Drosophila melanogaster: one gene and its partners. The protein of the gene in region 2 interacts with the protein of the main gene of each other region in a pairwise test. Each region holds a gene or a part of one and is shown on either strand. Other genes may lie near its edges.

The links.
Region 1: the proteins of CG3880 (region 2) and sob interact in a two-hybrid assay, tested with the Drosophila melanogaster proteins (one large-scale study listed by BioGRID).
Region 3: the proteins of CG3880 (region 2) and CG7329 interact in a two-hybrid assay, tested with the Drosophila melanogaster proteins (one large-scale study listed by BioGRID).
Region 4: the proteins of CG3880 (region 2) and CG18301 interact in a two-hybrid assay, tested with the Drosophila melanogaster proteins (one large-scale study listed by BioGRID).

Annotation. Positions count from the first base shown.
Region 1 is NT_033779.5:3,577,451-3,582,602, forward strand, and holds sob (sister of odd and bowl), read right to left. Parts: upstream 3,320-5,152; 5' UTR 2,730-3,319; coding exon 1,405-2,729; intron 1,259-1,404; coding exon 847-1,258; 3' UTR 563-846; downstream 1-562. UniProt on the Drosophila melanogaster protein: Pair-rule protein that determines both the size and polarity of even-numbered as well as odd-numbered parasegments during embryogenesis.
Region 2 is NT_033778.4:24,758,746-24,763,140, reverse strand, and holds CG3880 (uncharacterized protein), read right to left. Parts: upstream 2,478-4,395; 5' UTR 2,295-2,477; intron 1,860-2,294; 5' UTR 1,854-1,859; coding exon 996-1,853; intron 940-995; coding exon 595-939; 3' UTR 536-594; downstream 1-535. Other genes in the region: CG12848 (uncharacterized protein), read left to right, coding at 169-531; spz6 (spatzle 6), read right to left, coding at 2,927-3,557, 3,958-4,284, 4,345-4,395.
Region 3 is NT_033779.5:10,635,408-10,640,234, reverse strand, and holds the start of CG7329 (uncharacterized protein), read left to right. Parts: upstream 1-1,763; 5' UTR 1,764-2,009; intron 2,010-4,827. Other genes in the region: CG31872 (uncharacterized protein), read right to left, coding at 1-289.
Region 4 is NT_033779.5:10,529,829-10,534,214, forward strand, and holds CG18301 (uncharacterized protein), read left to right. Parts: upstream 1-1,992; 5' UTR 1,993-2,023; coding exon 2,024-2,161; intron 2,162-2,506; coding exon 2,507-2,684; intron 2,685-2,740; coding exon 2,741-3,102; intron 3,103-3,157; coding exon 3,158-3,748; 3' UTR 3,749-3,819; downstream 3,820-4,386. Other genes in the region: Lip4 (lipase 4), read left to right, coding at 250-427, 486-847, 1,028-1,579.

The DNA of each region.
Region 1 (5,152 bases), on a different chromosome or scaffold from region 2:
GCCCCGATATCTATATATCACACTCTAGTGGGTGGTCCTTTCGACCCGATGAGATAGCGCCTGCTCCACTTGTCCACCGGCTTGTACGACATTATTTGACTGGAAATGTGGAACAGCCTGGAAGTGGTGGGAAAATATGGGCATTTCTTTGTTTTAGCCCCACTATTGTCGATCTTGTTTTGTTTGTTGTCAAAGGCTTGTTGAAAGAGGTGTTTGAAGGTGTGCACCTTAATGCTACATTAATTGCCCTTGTTGGCACTCGAGCGATAAACATCGGTACAAATATTTGATTTTAGTTCGCTACAAGTGCGTAAATAGTGTAAGTACAAGAGTGGAATCAAAGCGGTAGAAAGGTAGAAAGGGTGAGAAAAACGTTTTGGAAAATTCTTGAATTTTGAAATGAACAACAGGCCTTTGGAAACTCAAACAACTCAAACTCCATACCCGTGGTAAAATTCTAGAATATTCAAATTATAATACAACTAACGTTCTTTTTAGTCTCAAGAAAACCTTTCTATAACCATAAGCCCAAGTCAACAATAAAAAGCCATGTGCACAATTTCCTTTAAGCTATTGTCTTTTATTCGATCGTACATTAAGAGTCCACAATTTAACTTAATATCTAACGTTAATTTACGCAAAGTCAAACTTTCCTGCTATGCTTACGTCACAAATATCCAAGGCTTAAACCAAAGTAGCTAAGGCTAAACTTACACTAAACTAAATGCTGTTTAGTCGTACTAAGATTACGATTACGAAATGGAGGGATTCGTATTCATGAGAGCTGCAATTGAGATTTTATTTTATTGAGTGGGTATCAAAGAGTGAGGAATCAGCTGAGGAAGATCAATCGCTGACGGCCACCAAATCTCTGGAGGATGCTGCAGTACTGGCGGAGCCCGTGGGCAAGCCCAACTCCGAGCTGGAGCTGGAGCCGGAGCCAAATGGATCACTTAGGTTGCCACCCACCACACCGCCCACTCCGGCGGACAAGTTATGCGTCAGGCTGTGACGTCGCAAGTCGCAGTTCCGCCGGAAGACTTTCCCGCAGGAGGCGCAGTTGTACGGCTTGATGTCGGTGTGGGTGAGCAGGTGGGTCTTCAGATTGGAACGCTGGTTGAAGGAGCGATTGCACACGGGGCACTTGTGCGGCGACTCCTCCATGTGCAGGATCTTGTGGACAGCCAGAGTGCGGGACTGACAGAATCCCTTGCCGCACTCCGCGCACTTGAAGGGCTTCTCCTTGGAGTGGATATATCTGCGGGTTACCAAAATGAATGAGGAGAATGGTGGGTTAGATTTTTATGGAAACCAAATGCTAGTCTTTTGTGACAGAGTGATTCTCAAGAGAAGGATCATTTCTTATTATACCATGAAGTAGCTTATCCGCTATTTTTGACCTACCTATGATCCCTCAGATGATCCTGCCTCCTGAAGGCCTTGCCGCAGATGTCGCAGGAGTAAGGCCTCTCGTCCGTGTGCGTTCTTTCGTGGATGAGCAGATTGTAGGACTTGGTGAACTGTCGGTTGCAGAATTTGCATATGAACTGCTTCTTGGACCGCTGGGCTGCCGCTGCCGCCGCCGAGCTGCCCGCCTCCTCCAGCCCTCCTACCGCACCTGCACCTACGCCGCCAGCCGCTCCCGAAATGACACTCATCTTGTCCTGGTACATGGTGGCCTGCAGCGAGTGCAGAGCCGAGTCCGTTTCCGCCTGGCTGAAGGCTGAGGGATTAAACATGAAGCTTCCATAGCTGCTGTCCAAATCTCCCGCCTCGAAGGAGAGAGCATCCTCGCCATCGAGCAACGGTAAGTCGCACTCTGCTGCCAGTTCTGCGGCTGTTGCGCAGTCCAGCGCCGCCTGTTGGCTCGCAGCAGCTGCTGCGGCAGCCGCAGCAGCCGCCACTGCAGCACTAACGGTGCCAATGGAGGGCAGAGGCACGCACTTGGATGTTGTTGGTGTGCTGGTGGAGTTGCTGTTGTTGCTGCTGGGCGAGGATGTGGCGGCAGCTGATGCTGTCGCTGCCGTCAAAGGGGGTTCCCCCGAGGAGCTGGAGGAGCAGCTCGACTTGAGCTCTATATTGGCTATATCGATGAGCGAGGGTAAGGCATTGTTGTCCGCTTCACTGCTGCTGCTGTTGCAGGTGGTGGCGTTGTTGCTGTTGCTGCTGCCGGTGTTGCTGTTGGAAAAGCGAAATACATCCGATTTCCCGGTTAGTCGCTGCAGCGCCAAATAGGATTCCAGGGCCTGGAGATTAAGAGCTGCTGCTGCCGCCGAATTGGCCGGCAGTAGGGCGGCCTGCTGCAAACTGCTGACCATGGTTCCTTGCAGCGAAAGAACGACCGCAGCAGCCGCTGCAAGATCGTTGGTTGCTGCGGCCGCCGTTGCTGTTGCAGCTGCCATGGCTGCGTTGCTGGTCTTACTGCCGATCGGCGATGTTGCAGCGGTGCACTTGTTGCCGTTGCTGTTGCAACTCTCGCTTTTCTTGTGCGCTGCTGTGGCTGTTGCTGCGGCACTTGGCTTGTGGTTGTTGTTGCTGTGGTGCTTCGATGTTGCTGCCTTGCTAGCTGATGATGCTGCTGCTGTTGCGCTTGCCTTGAGTTCTCCAAGCGCCTCGGCAATATCGCTGCTTGCTGCCGGTGAGGCTGCTGCCTTGGCCGGCGAATCGCTGCAAGTTGCAGCTGCAGCTGCAGCAGCAGCAGCGGCACTCAAATGCTTAACTGCCTCCATAAAAAAGTCGAATCCACGCACACACTCAGCTGGATATCGGGATAAAGCCTCGGGCCAGCGATGTTGCTGTGTTGCTGGTTGCCGTGGTGATTTTTTGTATTTTTTATTGTTTGGCGCACCTACGCAGGTTGAGAGGTTCGGAGCGCGTCCACATGAATATTAAAAACCACACGCCATCATAAATCACGTCTTAGTCACGCTTTCAAAAGTCATAAAAATCGAATTTGACGTCTGGCCAAAAACGAAAACAACAAAGTGCAGTCTCAGCCAAGTTAAGTCAAATTGGCAGGCACGCTTTTTCGATTTTTTCGACTGAAATAATATGGTAGTTCTTCTGGCTAGCACACGCGAACAATTTGGGTACAATCGATCTTTAAAATTATGTGCAGTTACTATTAGTTAACTTCCGTTTAATGCAACTTCCGGTCTTAGCCAACACAGACACATACACGTGTTGAGCTATGTATATATATATGTACGTATATATAATATTGTTTATTTTCTCTGATTCTGCCAGTTCTTCTTCTTCTCTTGACGTCGATCAGCCGTCGCTGCACACAATATTGGTAAAAGATCACGGAATAACTAAAAGTCCATTGCTCTGCGGACATATCGCGGACCTGCGCTCACTTGTTGATCGCCACATCTCTCTCGCCATTGGCGATCGCTCCCTGCGAGAGCGGATGAGAGCGTGGCCCACAAGATCACCCACGAAAAGAGCGAGCGGAGAGCGGGAGAAATTCAGGTTGGCCAGGTGCAAACTCGTTTTGTCTGTGTATTCTGAGCACCTTTACTCCCGCTCTCACCCACACACGCGCATTTAAATCAGAGGTAGAGCGAGAGCGCGTGCAAGGTGAGAAAGAGAGAACCGGTTTCTGTGGTTAATATGCCTGATTTTGATTTTGATTTTGAGTGGGTGTTTTGCCCACCCTCTCTTTCCCTCCTGGTCGTGCCATCTCTTTCTCGCCCATCGTGCCAGCTCCCTCTTGTCTGATAATATTCGTTTATTTATATAATTTTTGCAAGTAGTTGTTTATGATTCTTTCTAGGAAATTTCGCAAGCTTTGCTAAGTACTTTTAACCTTGGAAACTGAAGAATTTTGACGGATAATTAAAGGTTTTAAATATAGATTTAGGCACAAGTAACAGATGCAGCTTACATTATGAACTTGCCAATAAGAAGAAATCTCATATTATAGCTATTTTTACAAGTTATTCATACGAATAATTTATTACTATATCAAGAAAACATTGTATAGAGGGAAGAAAACTTTAAGCGAACATCCCTTAATTCACTAAAATCAAATGTGATCGGCGGCCATAAAAGGATTGCGATCGCCTGATAAGGAATTACAAGCCAGATGTTTTCTAGACATCTAAGGAAACCGTGGAGTTCCTAGTAAGGAATATGGAACAATGGTCTAATCTATTAAATATTAACGATCTTAAAAGGCTTTGGATTGGCGGTCAGATTGAAACACCTTGAGATGGTTTCCTGGAAATTATTACACTTAAAATCCATTTGCAATAGTGGAGATTTTTCCGAGTGCATCAACCTGCTAGCACTTGCAAATTGTGGCCATTAGTCAACGCGTTGATTTCTTCAGCCCCAAGCGCAGCCAGTTGATTGAAATGATTCTCATCGCACGCCATCTCATCGCCGCAGAATCGCAGACGAAAGAGCGAGAGAAGAATGCTGCCAGAAGAATCAAAAATACGCTGGCACAGCAAACCCAATCACAATTCGAATCACAGCCGCAATCATAGCTGAGACTTTTCAACTGTCAATTATTTCCTTATTCTTTATGCAAAGCCCCCAGACGCGAGTGTCCAGTGGGGGAACTCGGACTTAATGCGCTAAACGGCCCAAGTAAATGACCAATAATCATGGGAGCTGCCAGCTCTCCGGCTGCCGGTTGGTTGGCCACGAAATAAGCAGGAAAAAACTGCTGGAAAGAGCCAGTCCAGCACCGAGTGCAATTTATTTTTGCATTAAATTGCAATTTGGACCGGACTCTCAGTTTTCTACCATTTATACAGATATTATCGTGATTAATAATGCACAAACATGTCATACGCTCGTTTCGTGTGTGTTTGATTGGAGCGCATTAGGATCGCGGCATTTAATGATCCGGGAGTCTGGAGTCTGGAGACCAGAGATCCTCAGTCCCACGGTAGCAATTATGTCGCTTAGTGGCCGGCTTACGGATGATGATGATCGTCGCGAGGATGATCTCTTGCTGGAGATTGCTGGATCCCTGGATCATCCTGAATGGCGGCGCCATCAAAAGATCTGCAATCGGGATTGCGCATTCCAAGGCAAGCTCAGTGGTATTGACACAAGCTTCCTTTAAATGAAAGCCTCGGCTTAATGTCGTTATATTTCGATAGTCGCGCTTTTAAATGCTCGTTTCCTGTGCCGC
Region 2 (4,395 bases):
ATACCAGGGCTGCAGACGTACTGGCAATCACCACCAAAAGCAGGAACCAGTTCGTGACGTAATCTGAAGCAGCTGTTCAGTTGTCCAGGAGTCGGTGGAAATTACGAGGTGGGTAAAATCGTATTTTTTGACTGAAATGACCGGACTCACAGAGCCAAGGGGTTTCAGATGCGCGTACCCGGAGCCCTGTTTGCCGCGCGCGGCCGAGCGCCTCAAAGCGAGAAGGACGTGCCCTTCCAGGAGATTCTGCCTCTGCGGCTGAAGAACACCGTGAGCGGGAAGGCGGACTCCGGATCCGATGTGGCCTGTCTCCAGGAGATGGGCGTGCTGTTCGCCTGCTTGAAAGACAACGAATTCGTGGAGAAGTACTGCCACAAGGAGATCAGCCAGTTCCAGAACTGCTACAAGTGCTACATGGACCGTAAGTTTGAGGCGAAGAAGACCGTGAACCAGGGAATCGTCCAACCGGGCAGCAACCTGAACTACAAGCAACTTAACAAGTACATGCGCCGCTACCCCAATCCCGTATAGCTTTACATAGTTCAAGTTGTTTAATAATACACTATTTACAATGTACGCAGCAGCATTGATTCGTCAGTAGACCACGTCGGCGTCTCCCAGCCCGGCCGAGGATTGGCTGACCGGCGAGGGCTGGCTGAGCACGAAGTTGGGCATGGCACGCAGGAACTGCGGATGGGAATGAGAGTGCTGCGCCTCGTACAAGTCTGACAGAAGCGGCGGCTTCTCGCGAACCCGACTGAGCAGATCGGACATCTGCCTCGGTTTTGGGACGGTGGGTGTCGGCACAGCCAAATTAATGTGCAGTGGGTAGCCGCCGTGCTCCCAGGTGTCGGCCAGAATCTGGAGGCTGCGATTGGCCTCAAAAACGCGGGCGCGTTGAAAGTTTAGCCTTTCTTGCTGCAGTTCAGACCACTGATCCTGTGCGAAAATCAGGAAAGGGGTAACTATTAATTACAAGCTAGAGGACTACTTACAAATCGGGTTCCTAAACGGCCGAAATACTTTATCTGCTCCTGTACATTGAGCACCTGCATCATATACCAATCGCGTGCCTTCTCCACGCCATCGAGTCCGAAAAGAAGCAGTTCCCGCTGCTCCTCCAATTGCTTCAGTCTTTTTAGCATGTTGTAATCGATGCCGTGTTGCAGAGTGTGCCTCCGCGACTCTCTGCGCTTGCTGCTGGTCTTCTTGGGCACAGCCGGAAGGGCCAGGCTCCAGTCGGTGGCCGAAGCAGAGGTGGAGGAAGAGCCACCGTCAGCCGATCCACGGTGTTCGAATTGTTCCCGCGACTGCGTCGTTTTTGACTTTCCTGCGTCCGCCATCAGGTTCAGTTGCCAGTTTTGGAGGGCATGGCGAATGTCGTCTTTACCCAGAGCAGGGGACTTGGGTACCTGTCGTGGAGGTTTTGGCGGCGGAGCAGGAGAATGGAACTCCATCTCCGGAGCAAGAGTTCCGTGGGAACGAGGCCGCAACTTCAGGTCTTCCACAGCGTTTTGCTGATTGCGGAGCAGGCACAGCTTGAGGCCGGCGCAGAACCGCTCGAAGGAGAGAAGTCCGCTACTGGGAGTGACCCGACGGAGTGAGTCCACAACTCCGCGTGGCAGTCCCTTGGAGCCATCATCCTGCCAGCCCTTCTCGATGTCCGTGAAGCGCACGTATCCGGTCTGCTTGTCATCTAAGATGTCGAAGAGCTTTTTCATGGACAGGACGAACTGCTTAGGCAGCGTATCCAGTTCCCAAAATTGCGACTGCCCCTGTGGATGGCTGCCTCCCACATCGCCTATGCTTAGGTTCAGCAGACTGGTACTGGTATTCTTGTTCTGGCGGAGCATCTTCGTCTGCGGATGGCGCAAAATGGAAAGTGGGATGAGATTATGAATCGTATAGTCCCACGCTTGGCACCAATGCATAACTTATATTAATAGGAGCTCATTTGCATGGGTAACTCCAAATGGAATGTGTGTGAATCTGGCACGCTGCCTTAGGACTGAATCTCTGAGCTAAGATATTTCCCACTTATTTACAAGCAGTTTTAACAAATTTATTTTTATAAAATCGTCTAGTCGCCACACAAAATTACTTGATTTCAAACTCTACAATTTTATTTAAATGGGCTCAACTGAGACGTGCAAATGAATGATTTTGTTAGTTTCTTGCCTTCAAGTACCAAGTTTACTCAATGTTATTATCGCAGCTGCATCTGTACCTTAGTCCACTTTGGTTGCTTATTTTGTTTATAAACAAAGAGACGGCCCTCCATTTGGCTGACTTACCCAAGCTATGCGGAAAATTGGCTCCTGAAATCCGAGTCCGCGGCTCGTCTGGCAGCCTTTTGAGGCCGTTCGTCAAGGCTTCTGCGCAAACTCTGCAACTATTCTGTGTATGTAATGCAGCTCGGTCGCTTGGATCCCCGGCCAAAACACCCAAAGCCAACCAACTGGTTATATTGACTGCACACTAGATCAGCGGCCGAGGTTTTGGGCCCGAGTCTCGCACGCATGCGCAACTTGCGCGACTGGTTTCTGTGGGTTTTCGGTGGATCTTCCAACACAAGCGCAGCTGAGAGAGTTCCAGGAGGCTAACACACACAGGCTAGGCCAATACCACATCGCAGTCTCAGCAAAGTGCCGAATAGAGAGGCTCTCTTATGATTAGGTAGAAACGTATTTATTAGTAGAAATGCACTGCTCTTGGCTTAATCAGTCGAAAGAGGGAGCTAACCGCCTAGGTTAAGATTGTATCTGGTAGATGCACGAACTGCAAACTCTGCGTGATCCGTATAGGGCTGTGGGGCACCCGGGTGGATTACTAGAATGAGCCTTTCACCTCAAAGTTGTGTTCCTCTAAAGGCTAGAACTTAGTCTTATTCTAAGGATTTCCTTCGAAAATCCTGTCCAGGAAGTGTTCACAACTCGGCCACCGACTTCCGGCGCACGTACTTGGCGAAGTAGTCCGGGCGCCAGCACTTGCAAGAGCCGGGGATGAGGAACCAGTCGTAGTAGAGACGCACCTGGAAGCAGCCCAGTTCATCGTGTCCATCGCAGTGGGCGTCCACCTGCGCCGCGGGGCCGGCTGCTCCAGACGAGGTTCCGTCGGAGGCGGTAGCCACGCCTGCCCTCTTCTGCAGGTACTGCTGGTAGGCCTGGAAATCCTGCACAGAAGGGGCCTGAGTGGTGGTCGAGCTGGTGGGCACTGTGTCCTCCGCATTGGGGTAGAAGATCTCCGCCACCAACAGGCTTACCCAGCGTGGTGACGACAAGCAACCGCCGTCCAGGTAGTGACAGCGTGCCTGAATGCAACGCGTCACCTCCACCGTCTGGGTGAAGTAGCCCTCATAGGGAATCTGGACCACATAACGCCAGGCGCCTTGGTAGTTCTTAGCGAAGACGGGAGTAGCGTACTCTACCTTGGCGGGACAGGGAGTGGGAGGACCCTCGTACCGGATGGGACCCACCTCCTCGCGCCTTTCCGCAGTGGGCGTGGCAGGGGCTGCTCCTCCGGTGTCTCCCTGAATTGCCCTGTATAAGGTGCAAAATCTGTGGGTGGAGTTAAAAGTTTAAAAATCTTTTATTAATTGACCTGCACGCAGTTGTGTCGTCAAAATGCTAAGCAGTTGAATACCCCATGATGTACTCCTCTCTTAACCTATTCTACAATATCTATGGATGTCGATTAAAGTGTTGAGCTTCTTTAGTTGTATGGCTTTACATTATGATGTGGAAAGTGAAATGACAAGCTCATTTGGGTTCTTTGCCTTGATAATTCTTCGAATCTATAATTTTATAAAGATGACTCATAATTTTTAAGTGGTGACCTCTTTAGCTTTATATGCGCGCCTTTCCCGTGCTTTAAGAAATACGATATATTTATCTTTCATTTATGTAGCAGTTAAGATTGGAATAACTCTACTCCCCCGTTTCCATGCTAAAAACTTACACTCCACCGCCATCGCAGAATTTCCTTGGCTTCCTCTCCTCGGCGGCCCTTCTCTGCTGGTTATTCCGATCCCTTTGCTTGTGTTGCTCCTCCTCGTCCAGGGCGGGATCGAAGTAGCTGTACTCGTTGGACTCCACGCCCTCCGGCAGGCTGCGGCGGACGCGAGTGGAACCTCCTGCGGGATAGGGCCTGTCGATGTTGTTGCTGTCCAGCTGTTCCACGGGTTCATCTCGAATGATCTGGGTGACCTTGGGTAGGGTATCGTCGGCCTTTAGAACGGGCAAAGTTTTCGAAAGGAACTTCAGCGTTTGGTTGCGAATAAGTTCGCTGTGGAGGAGGTGTACATTAGAGATGTCTGAAATTTGTTACGCAAATATTTTCACCTACAAGGGATAGGGCTCCCCGAGTACATTTTGTCCCAGCGGATTCTTGGGTATC
Region 3 (4,827 bases), on a different chromosome or scaffold from region 2:
CAGATTCAACTGAGGGCTTATAGCTTGAATTACTTTCCAAGACTATTGGTTGAGGTTTAAACACGAATCCGTAATCTTTTACAATGGATTCTCTTTGCAAGCGCACCTTTTGCTCATCTTCTGTTGAATCTGCATCGCCATTGATGTCCAATATGCTCTCAACCGCAGGAAGGATCGGGGGGCTTATAATATTGTTCAATTGATTGTTTATATCAATAATTCCCTCGCTGGGTTCCACTCGAAATATCGCCAAGAGCGCAACGAATGCGTAAAGGAATCCTAACTGCATTCTGAAACTACTTTTAGCAGCGAATCGGAAAGGAGCCTTTTATAGGCTCGCAAATGAAATGCCATGAAATTGATAACACATGGATTAAAGCGATTTTAAATGGATTATCTCTCGATGTTACATCACAAGTGGCAAATGAGTTGGGACAGCAAGATTGATGGGCTTCTTGAAAATACATTTTATTGTTACAATTCCAGGATTTGGTATTGAATAAGTGTTTTTTTTTTTGCCTTAGCTTCCCAGTTACAAACACAAGATATAGATCAAGTGTGTGGTTTGCGGATTTTTCATTTAATCGAACTTAAATAACTAATTATGTTAAGTAGAAGCTTAAGGATACACTTGATTTTTTTATTACCATCTAAAATCAAAAATAGTGAAACTGTAATTTAAAGAAGAACAATGGAGAATTTAAGGCGCTTCGGTTTGGGTAAAGTTACTGAACTTTTGACAATCTAATTGCACAAGTGCACGAGGCGCAACCGTTATTATCCTTGGTCCTTGTTTCGTCCTTGTTCCGGTGGCGTTGGCAAATTCACGCCACTCGCTTGTTTGCGCAAATTTGATTATCAAAATACCCAAGGAGAGTGCAGCCGTGGTCGGAAAAGTCGGGAAAGAAGTCGCGAAAGGAAGAAGGATAATGCCATGTCGCCGCATTAGCGCCTCTGGTGGGTCGGGTTGGGCGTGGTCGTTGTCCCGTGAAACAAGCTCGAAATTGAGTTTGCCTAGTGTCCTTGCGCCCCTTTAATACCACCCCCTCCTGTCCACCACCACTAGCCCTTTTGCCTGCTGGGCTGATTAAAGCTCCATGCCAACTTGCGGTGATTTGCTTTTTTTTTCTGGCACCATCATTTGGATGCAGTGGCGCCCTGCACAAATGGGGCATTAAGCCCTCCGATGTCGGGACCTGACATATATTAAATTTCATCTCGCCGTCAGTCGGATTCGGATGCGGAATCGGGCGCCTAATGAAGGTTAAGCAACTTTTAATGTCCCGGCCCGGGCCATTTTGCAGACCATTAAATGTTTCGCCTGGCAATATGCCATATGTTTCCAGCATGGACATAAGCCCCATGTCCGGAAAATGTTCGCTACGTTCTGCAAAAACTTTACTTATCATTTCAACGCCAAAAGCCATAAAGACGCTCGCTAAGTCTGCGTGTGTTTGTGATGACACGACGATGACAGTAATCGTAATCCTAGTCATGGTAATGATGACACTGGGGCGCTCAGCCCACAGTCATGCCATATAAGCATATGGCGGTTGGGTTCCAGGAATCAGGCTGGGCAGAGACACTTAACGGTCATGTGGAGGGCTAACGAGCGATTTCACCCTTTATGGCCAGCATTTGGATGCCATCGGTTATCGGATTCCGTCACGAGTATTTTCAATTAGTAATGTGGACTGTGGAAATCGGTTTCACTGGCGTATCGCATTGATATGATTGCTCTTTGTGTTATTAGTTAATTGTTCTGGTTGTTCAATGTATTTCCTTTGGGCTTCCCACACATGTAGTTTCACTCACCGCCAGTGTCACGCCCGATGGACACCTTCCGGAATCCCAGTCAATCGCAATTGGTGTGACTTTCGACTGCCTCAGTTGCTCCTGAACTCCTGAGTTCAATCTTCAATCGTTACCCCTTTGCACTCGAGCAGAACGCGACGCAGTCTTAAGTGGTATGAAGATTGTAACATTCGAACCTTGGTGCACTTGAACAAGTAAGATGGTTGAAATTTAACACTTTTTTTTACTTTTAGGTAAGAGATATAACTATTAGTAGATTTCCATTTTATAATTAATACCACTAGAGCTAATCTCTGGGGATTTAAAAATTACATTCTAAACAGTTTCATCCAGGAAAGCATGTTCTGAATTGATGCTTGTGAGATTTTCTTTTTCTGAGTGTATTTTTTGCCTGGTTATGTGAGCGTTTTCCATGTTCACACAAGTACAGCCCCCCCCCCCCTTTGCCGGCGGCACACCCCTCAGTAATTTCATGCTCCATTGGCCAACGAAATCGCCACACAATCAAAGGAAAAGCTTCGCCCTTTTCGTCAAGACATGAAGTTATACAACCATCGAGGTGAATGCTAAGAATTTGGCCCACATTGTGGCACTTCGAGAGTTCGCTGAAATATATATATATATATAGTATTTAAATTCACAGGCCCAATTTATGCACTTCTAAGTTTTTGAAACGAGACTCGTACATTCATTTCGGCCAGCCAACGCAACTTTCGATTGGCGTTTGTCCAGGGTCCTTGTAGCGATATTTATGCAGTTTTTCCATGGAACAAGGGAATACTATCTCCAGCTGTCGCTGTTGTTGTTCTTGTCACTGCATTCATGGCCACTTCTTTCCGCTCGCCATTTCTTTTGGGCTTTCTCCGCTCCGCTCCGCACTGGTCCACTTCACTCCACTCCATTTTTATTTATTTTCCCCGACTTTTGTATTTCTGTTTGCATTTTTTTTAAACACGTTTCTTTTTTGTGCTGCTGTCGGGCGCCCCAACACGAGAAGTCCATTTCGAAATTTATGTACACACAAATTGAAAGCGTTGGAAGGGACTGAGAGCCGAAATGAAGGAAAGAAAAGTGTTTTGGTGCTGGCGGAAAAACCGTTGGCTGCATTTCTCGAATTGCAGTTTCGGTGCAAAAAGAATTCGGGGCAGAAAAATACAAACGATATGCCTTTAAGTGACACTTGCCAGGAGGTTTTGTATTCCCGATGGGTGGAGTCCTTTTTGGTGGAGCGGACCGATAGTCCAAAACCGTCGACAAAACGTTTGGATTGTTGATTTTGGAGCGGGGAAAAGGCGAGAGATAAACTCAATTGAAAAGAGATCAGATAATGCTTCGACCACTGGGAAAATGTTTAAATAAAATTATCTAAATCCTTTCGCAAAGGGAGCAGTAAAGGAGGAGTGAAAATAAAGTATGTACTTTCCGCAATATTTATTGCTCTTAAATGTGAGGTGGATCGCTTGACATTTTAAGACATTGTTGGGTTCTTATATTTCCTAGCTATTTCTCCCATTAAGTACGCAAATATGCGTGTCAAATCGAGTCATAAAATTCCGTTCCACCCATTTAACCATTGAATACTAAACCATATCACACCAAAACAGTTTTAAATTCAGCAAGAGAAGGCACTCCTGCTTTAAGCTCATTCAGGCTAAAACAATAAACAAGCCGCGTAGTTTATTGCCCTCTGAACTTCTGGCCAGAGCGAAAAGTTCACCTCGTTTATAAGTCGGCATTGGCAGTTGCGATTGCTCTTGGCATAAATTAGATGCGGCAGCGGCTTTTGAAAATAGGTTGCCATGTGTGCGGCACCCGGCTTCTGTTTCCAAGTTGCCAGCTCCCACAGTTTCCATTTCCAAGTTCCTGGCTCCTACCGGTGGAGGATCACTGTGCTGCCCGAGGCGTGTCTTTGTTTTGGCGGCGGTGTCATCCCGGTTTAACCTGGACTGAAATTAACCCAGCTGAGCCCACGAAGCTGCGACCCGTTTCCTGTCAGTCTCTCTGTCCATCGGACTGACTGACTGACTGCATTTGCATTTGCATTTCAATGCCCTGCCCTTTTTAAATAGCGAAGCTTTACTGCGAACAAAATAGTGTACTTTGAATAGTAAGAAAAAACTGCTGTAAACTTTAAGATACATCTTATATGTTGCCACTTAAAGTTTCAAGATTCAAAGAATAAAATATTGCATCGTACATTAAAGTCAAGAATATGAAGTGAAGTTGTCTACAAATGGGTTCAAATAATTTTTAATTTTTTTCCAGTGCTCTTAGAGTATCCCTAATTCTAAACTCAATTATCGCTGAATGCGCGACTGGCAACATTGTCTTGTGCATGCTAATTTCATTACAATGCAGCTAAAGGGTCCTTGCCCAGCCGCAGGACCCAGCTCAATACCCAATGAATTATGATGGACGTTGTCATGAGTGTGGTTCACTCACACACACACACACATGTGCAAGCCGCCTATGTGTGTTGGCCATGTTTATCTCTCTGGCCAACGTATACTTAGCACATTTGTCGGGAAGTAAGGGAGAATATGGAAAACCCGGAGATGTGGGCGGTCGGTTTGGGGCTGGTCAATGAGCGTTTGGCATACACGCTATCAGTAGATTGCTGGCTAGGCGTTTTTAGCCGACACGCCCCAACGAAAAATGGAGGAAAGGGCTTAAAGAAGGACTGATGGCGAAATGAAGTGCTTAACGCCAGGCTACTCACTATAACGCGGAAATTGCACTGGAAATAAAATGCATATCTTTAAAATATTAACGATATATAGTCAGGAAATTCTTTTTTCTATTCAAAATTCTTTTGGTCGAGGCACATAAAATTCTTCTAAATGTACATAGGATTTATGTACCATAAATTCAGTTCACACTCACACTCCAGTTGCAGTGTAGAGCTTAGCGTTGTGGTTGAGAACCCTTTGGCTGCGCCACTTCATTATAAACATTTCTCAATTGATTATCGTTAGTTTTCCATGGGTGGGCTCTCCAACGCGTGTGGGCAAA
Region 4 (4,386 bases), on a different chromosome or scaffold from region 2:
GTGTTAATGTATACGTTTAAAAGTTAGTCAGATGTTGTCATCGCTTTATTTTTACGATATTACGTTTGTATAGGAAGCTTTTTGATTTTCGTACCTCTCCCTAATAATTAAGAAAAGTAATTACATTATTGAAAATTGACATATCAATTTAATCGTTAAATTAACGATTACGCTGATAGAAACTTACACTTAGAAAATTTGTTGTTCTTAGTACAATTGTAATAACCTCGTCTCTTTTCCCTTCTGCAGTACAGTCTGATAAAAAAGTACGGCTACCCGGCGGAGAATCACACCTTGGAGACGGATGATGGATACATCCTCACCTTGCACAGGATCGCTAGACCGGGAGCAACGCCAGTGCTTCTGGTGCACGGACTACTGGATAGCTCAGCCACTTGGGTGATGATGGGACCGAACAAGGGACTTGGTAAGATCATAGGCTATCTCCAAATGTCCCATGCTGATTGCGTTGCTCTGTTCCAAAGGTTACCTGCTCTACGATCAGGGGTACGATGTCTGGATGGCCAATGTTCGTGGCAATACGTACTCGAGAAAGCATGTTAAGTATAGCACCCACCATGCCAAGTTCTGGGACTTTACATTCCACGAGATGGGAAAGCATGATATACCCGCCACAATGGACTACATCCTCAATTCCACGGGCGTAAGCCAATTGCACTACATTGGTCACTCCCAGGGAACCGTTGTGTTCTGGATCATGGCCAGCGAGAAGCCCGAGTATATGGACAAGATCATTCTGATGCAGGGATTGGCACCGGTGGCATTCCTCAAGCACTGCCGCAGTCCGGTGGTCAACTTCCTGGCCGAGTGGCATCTATCGGTGAGCGTAAGTTACCCCATCCTAATTATCCCATCCTTTCAAAGAGCGTTTTTGCAGTGGAATACATCCAAATTTAATGTAAATTTAATCATTGTTTATTATAAACACGATCCAGTGCAAAACATCTTTCTCCTTCTCTTCTCATTCAATTTGTTCATGTTAACTTATATTATTTTAATATTTTAGTTGGTCCTCAAGCTGATTGGCGTTCACGAGTTTTTGCCTAAGAATGAGTTCATCAGCATGTTCAACCGGATCATCTGCGACGAGACCACTATTACGAAAGAGATTTGTTCAAACGTCATCTTCCTGACCACCGGATTCGACAAGCTCCAGCTGAACGAGACTATGCTGCCGGTAATCGTGGGTCATTCTCCGGCCGGAGCCTCCACCAAGCAGATGCAGCATTTTGGACAGCTCAACAGATCTGGCGGTTTCCGGCAGTATGATCACGGATGGCTCAGAAACCACTGGATCTACGGAACCATTGACCCGCCATCCTACCACCTGGAGAATGTTCGGGCCAAGGTGGCACTATATTATGGCCAAAACGATTGGCTGGCTCCGCCGGAGGATGTGGAAATGCTGAACCGCAAGCTGCCCAATGTCGTGGAGAAATATCTGGTGGACGACAAGGAGTTCAACCACTTGGATTTCATTTGGGGCATCGATGCCCGGGAACTTTTGTGGGATCGAATGCTGGAAATAATGCGAAATCATGAGAATTCAATTATCTAAAGGGGAATAGAACTATGGTTATAATTTAGTTATTCACAGTATATTATTATTAGTTAGGTATTTATTGTTTAGTAGAAACTAAGACGATTTACAACAATTTTACAACGATAAAAGCCAATAAAAACAACTTACAATTAATACATTTTTAATATTAATTCCCATCTTTTCTATTCCTATTTTTTGATATGAAAATTAGTATATATCTTTTAATTCGATTTTGCTAAGCAACAAACTTTTTGCTTAAGTTACATGAATGATATTTATTTCCGAAAGTATTTAAGTTGAGACCCAAGCGGTAAATGTAAATTTTATTCATAGGTTAAAGTGTTGCACTTTTATTGCCTACGTACAATCTTTTTTAGTATCCCAAAATTTTACTTGCTTCAGTTTCCACTTGGAACTTGTATACATCGGATTAGTAAAGTTTGTCTCTAATAAAGTCAGATGTCTCTATCATCGTCTTCGAAATTTCTTATATGGACCTTCTTTTTGGGCCTATTCCAGCTGGAAGCCAATGCATTTTTCAATCCTTTTCAACTGGCTATACCTTCATCAGTTTTAGAAGATGCACACTTGAATACGGTAAGTTCAAAAATCATTCGGGTTCCAACGATTAGTAACATTTGGAATAAAGCATAGGAAGTTTATCCAGATCTAAAAATCTAGATTAATATAGTGCATTATATTTCGACTTATAAAACATCTGTAGATATAGACACAATTTGTGTGAGTGTAAGTACATATATAGCTTTCTAGGTTATAGCTCTTACTATAAAGGTCGGATTACTCGCTGATTGGTCATAGTTTTATAATCTCATGTATTCTAAATACTACGTACACTCAATACTACGTACACTCAAAGTATTTAAGGGCAAATCTCTAGCGAATAGTTATATTAAGCCGTGTTTGTTTCTCCTGTTTTTGCAGATACAATTGATTTCCAAATATGGATACCCGGCGGAGAATTACACAGTGCAGAGTGACGATGGCTACTTATTGGGACTCTTCAGGATCGCACGTCCTGGAGCCCTGCCTGTGCTGCTGGTCCACGGACTAATGGACAGTTCCGATACCTGGGTGATGATGGGTCCTTCCAGTTCCTTAGGTACAATCGAATTTCATTCGTTTTTTAAGTGCACTCAGAATGATTTTCTTCCAAAGGATACATGTTGTACGAGCAGGGCTACGACGTCTGGATGGCCAATGTGCGGGGTAATACCTATACGAAACGCCATGTTCGTTACTCCGCCGAAGACTCCGATTTCTGGAACTTTTCGTTCCATGAGATGGGCATTTTCGATCTGCCTGCCATCATTGATTACATACTGATGCAATCTGGATTCGGTCAGTTGCACTACATTGGTCACTCCCAGGGATCAACTATCTTCTGGATTTTGGCCAGCGAAAGACCAGAGTACATGGAAAAGATCGTTATGATGCAGGCATTGGCTCCAGTGGCCTTCCTGTCCCATTGCCGTAGTCCCATTGTGAATTTGTTGGCCTCTCAGGATACTGCAGTTGCCGTACGTTTAAGATTTGTTTACACTTTTATACATTTTAACTAATATCTGGTTTTAGTCCTTCCTAAGCGCGGCTGGCTACAATGAGTTCCTGCCCAGCAACAGTGTGATTGATCAGTTCAAGCGTTATGCCTGCCGGGATATCATTTCCAGCAGTGTCTGTCAGAGTCTCTTCTTTATTCTTTTCGGTTTCAATGGCCAGCAAGTGAACCAAACGATGTTGCCGATCGTAGTGGGTCACACTCCGGCCGGTGCATCCATCAGGCAGATGCACCACTACGGCCAGCTGAGGAACTCTGGGAAATTCCAGCAGTTTGACTACGGACTGTTGAACTTCCTGCATTATGGCAGCCTGTCCCCACCGCCTTATGAACTGGAGAAAGTCAAGGCCAAGGTGGCAATCTATTATGCCAAAAACGATTGGATAGCTCCGCCGGAAGATGTGGACATGCTTTTCAACAGGTTGCCCAATGTGGTGGAAAAGTATCTCGTTCCGAATGAAAACTTTAACCACTTCGATCTGGTCTGGGGCAGAGATGCAAAGAGAATTCTGTGGAATCGAATGCTTGGAGTTATGCAATCAGTTGTTCCATACTCCTCCTACAATGATGGCGATAGTATCACAACTGTATTTGTAAATCGATTCTAATCAATGTTTTCAAATGTAAATGAAAGGAATTTTACAAAAACTATCAAATAAAAGCATTCGTCTTTGTATCTAAACAGTATTTACTCATTTTATTTATAAAGAATGTTTATCAGCAGTTGCAGAAGACAACAAGTTATACCGATATGATTATAACAAATATATTCAATAAACGTATTTGCATAAAATTTATTATATATTCAATAATTTTTTTTATTCACAATTTCTTTACCCGGTTGAATAATAAAAATAGTTATCGGCTATAAAGTCACTTCCATTGGATTTAATTTAATAGCCTCACATTTATTTATTTGAACTGCCTTAATCGCATAATTTAGGAGCGTGTTAGCTAAATAATTATTTTCGCTTGGAAACCGGTTTCGTTCAAACTTTATTAGCTTCAAATTCTATGACTGTTAACAATTATATGTGATTTATCAGTTTACCAATGCGCTCTATTCAGCTTTCACATCAATTTTACACGACCTTATCCAACTGTCAAGCTGTTGTTATATCCACTTCCATTTCCACACACACACACACACACACACACACCGTGCTGGGAAAACTCGTTTAATATATTCGAAACAATGAGAGATTGCTATTTTATGCATATTGATTGCCCTGATTCACGTGAGATC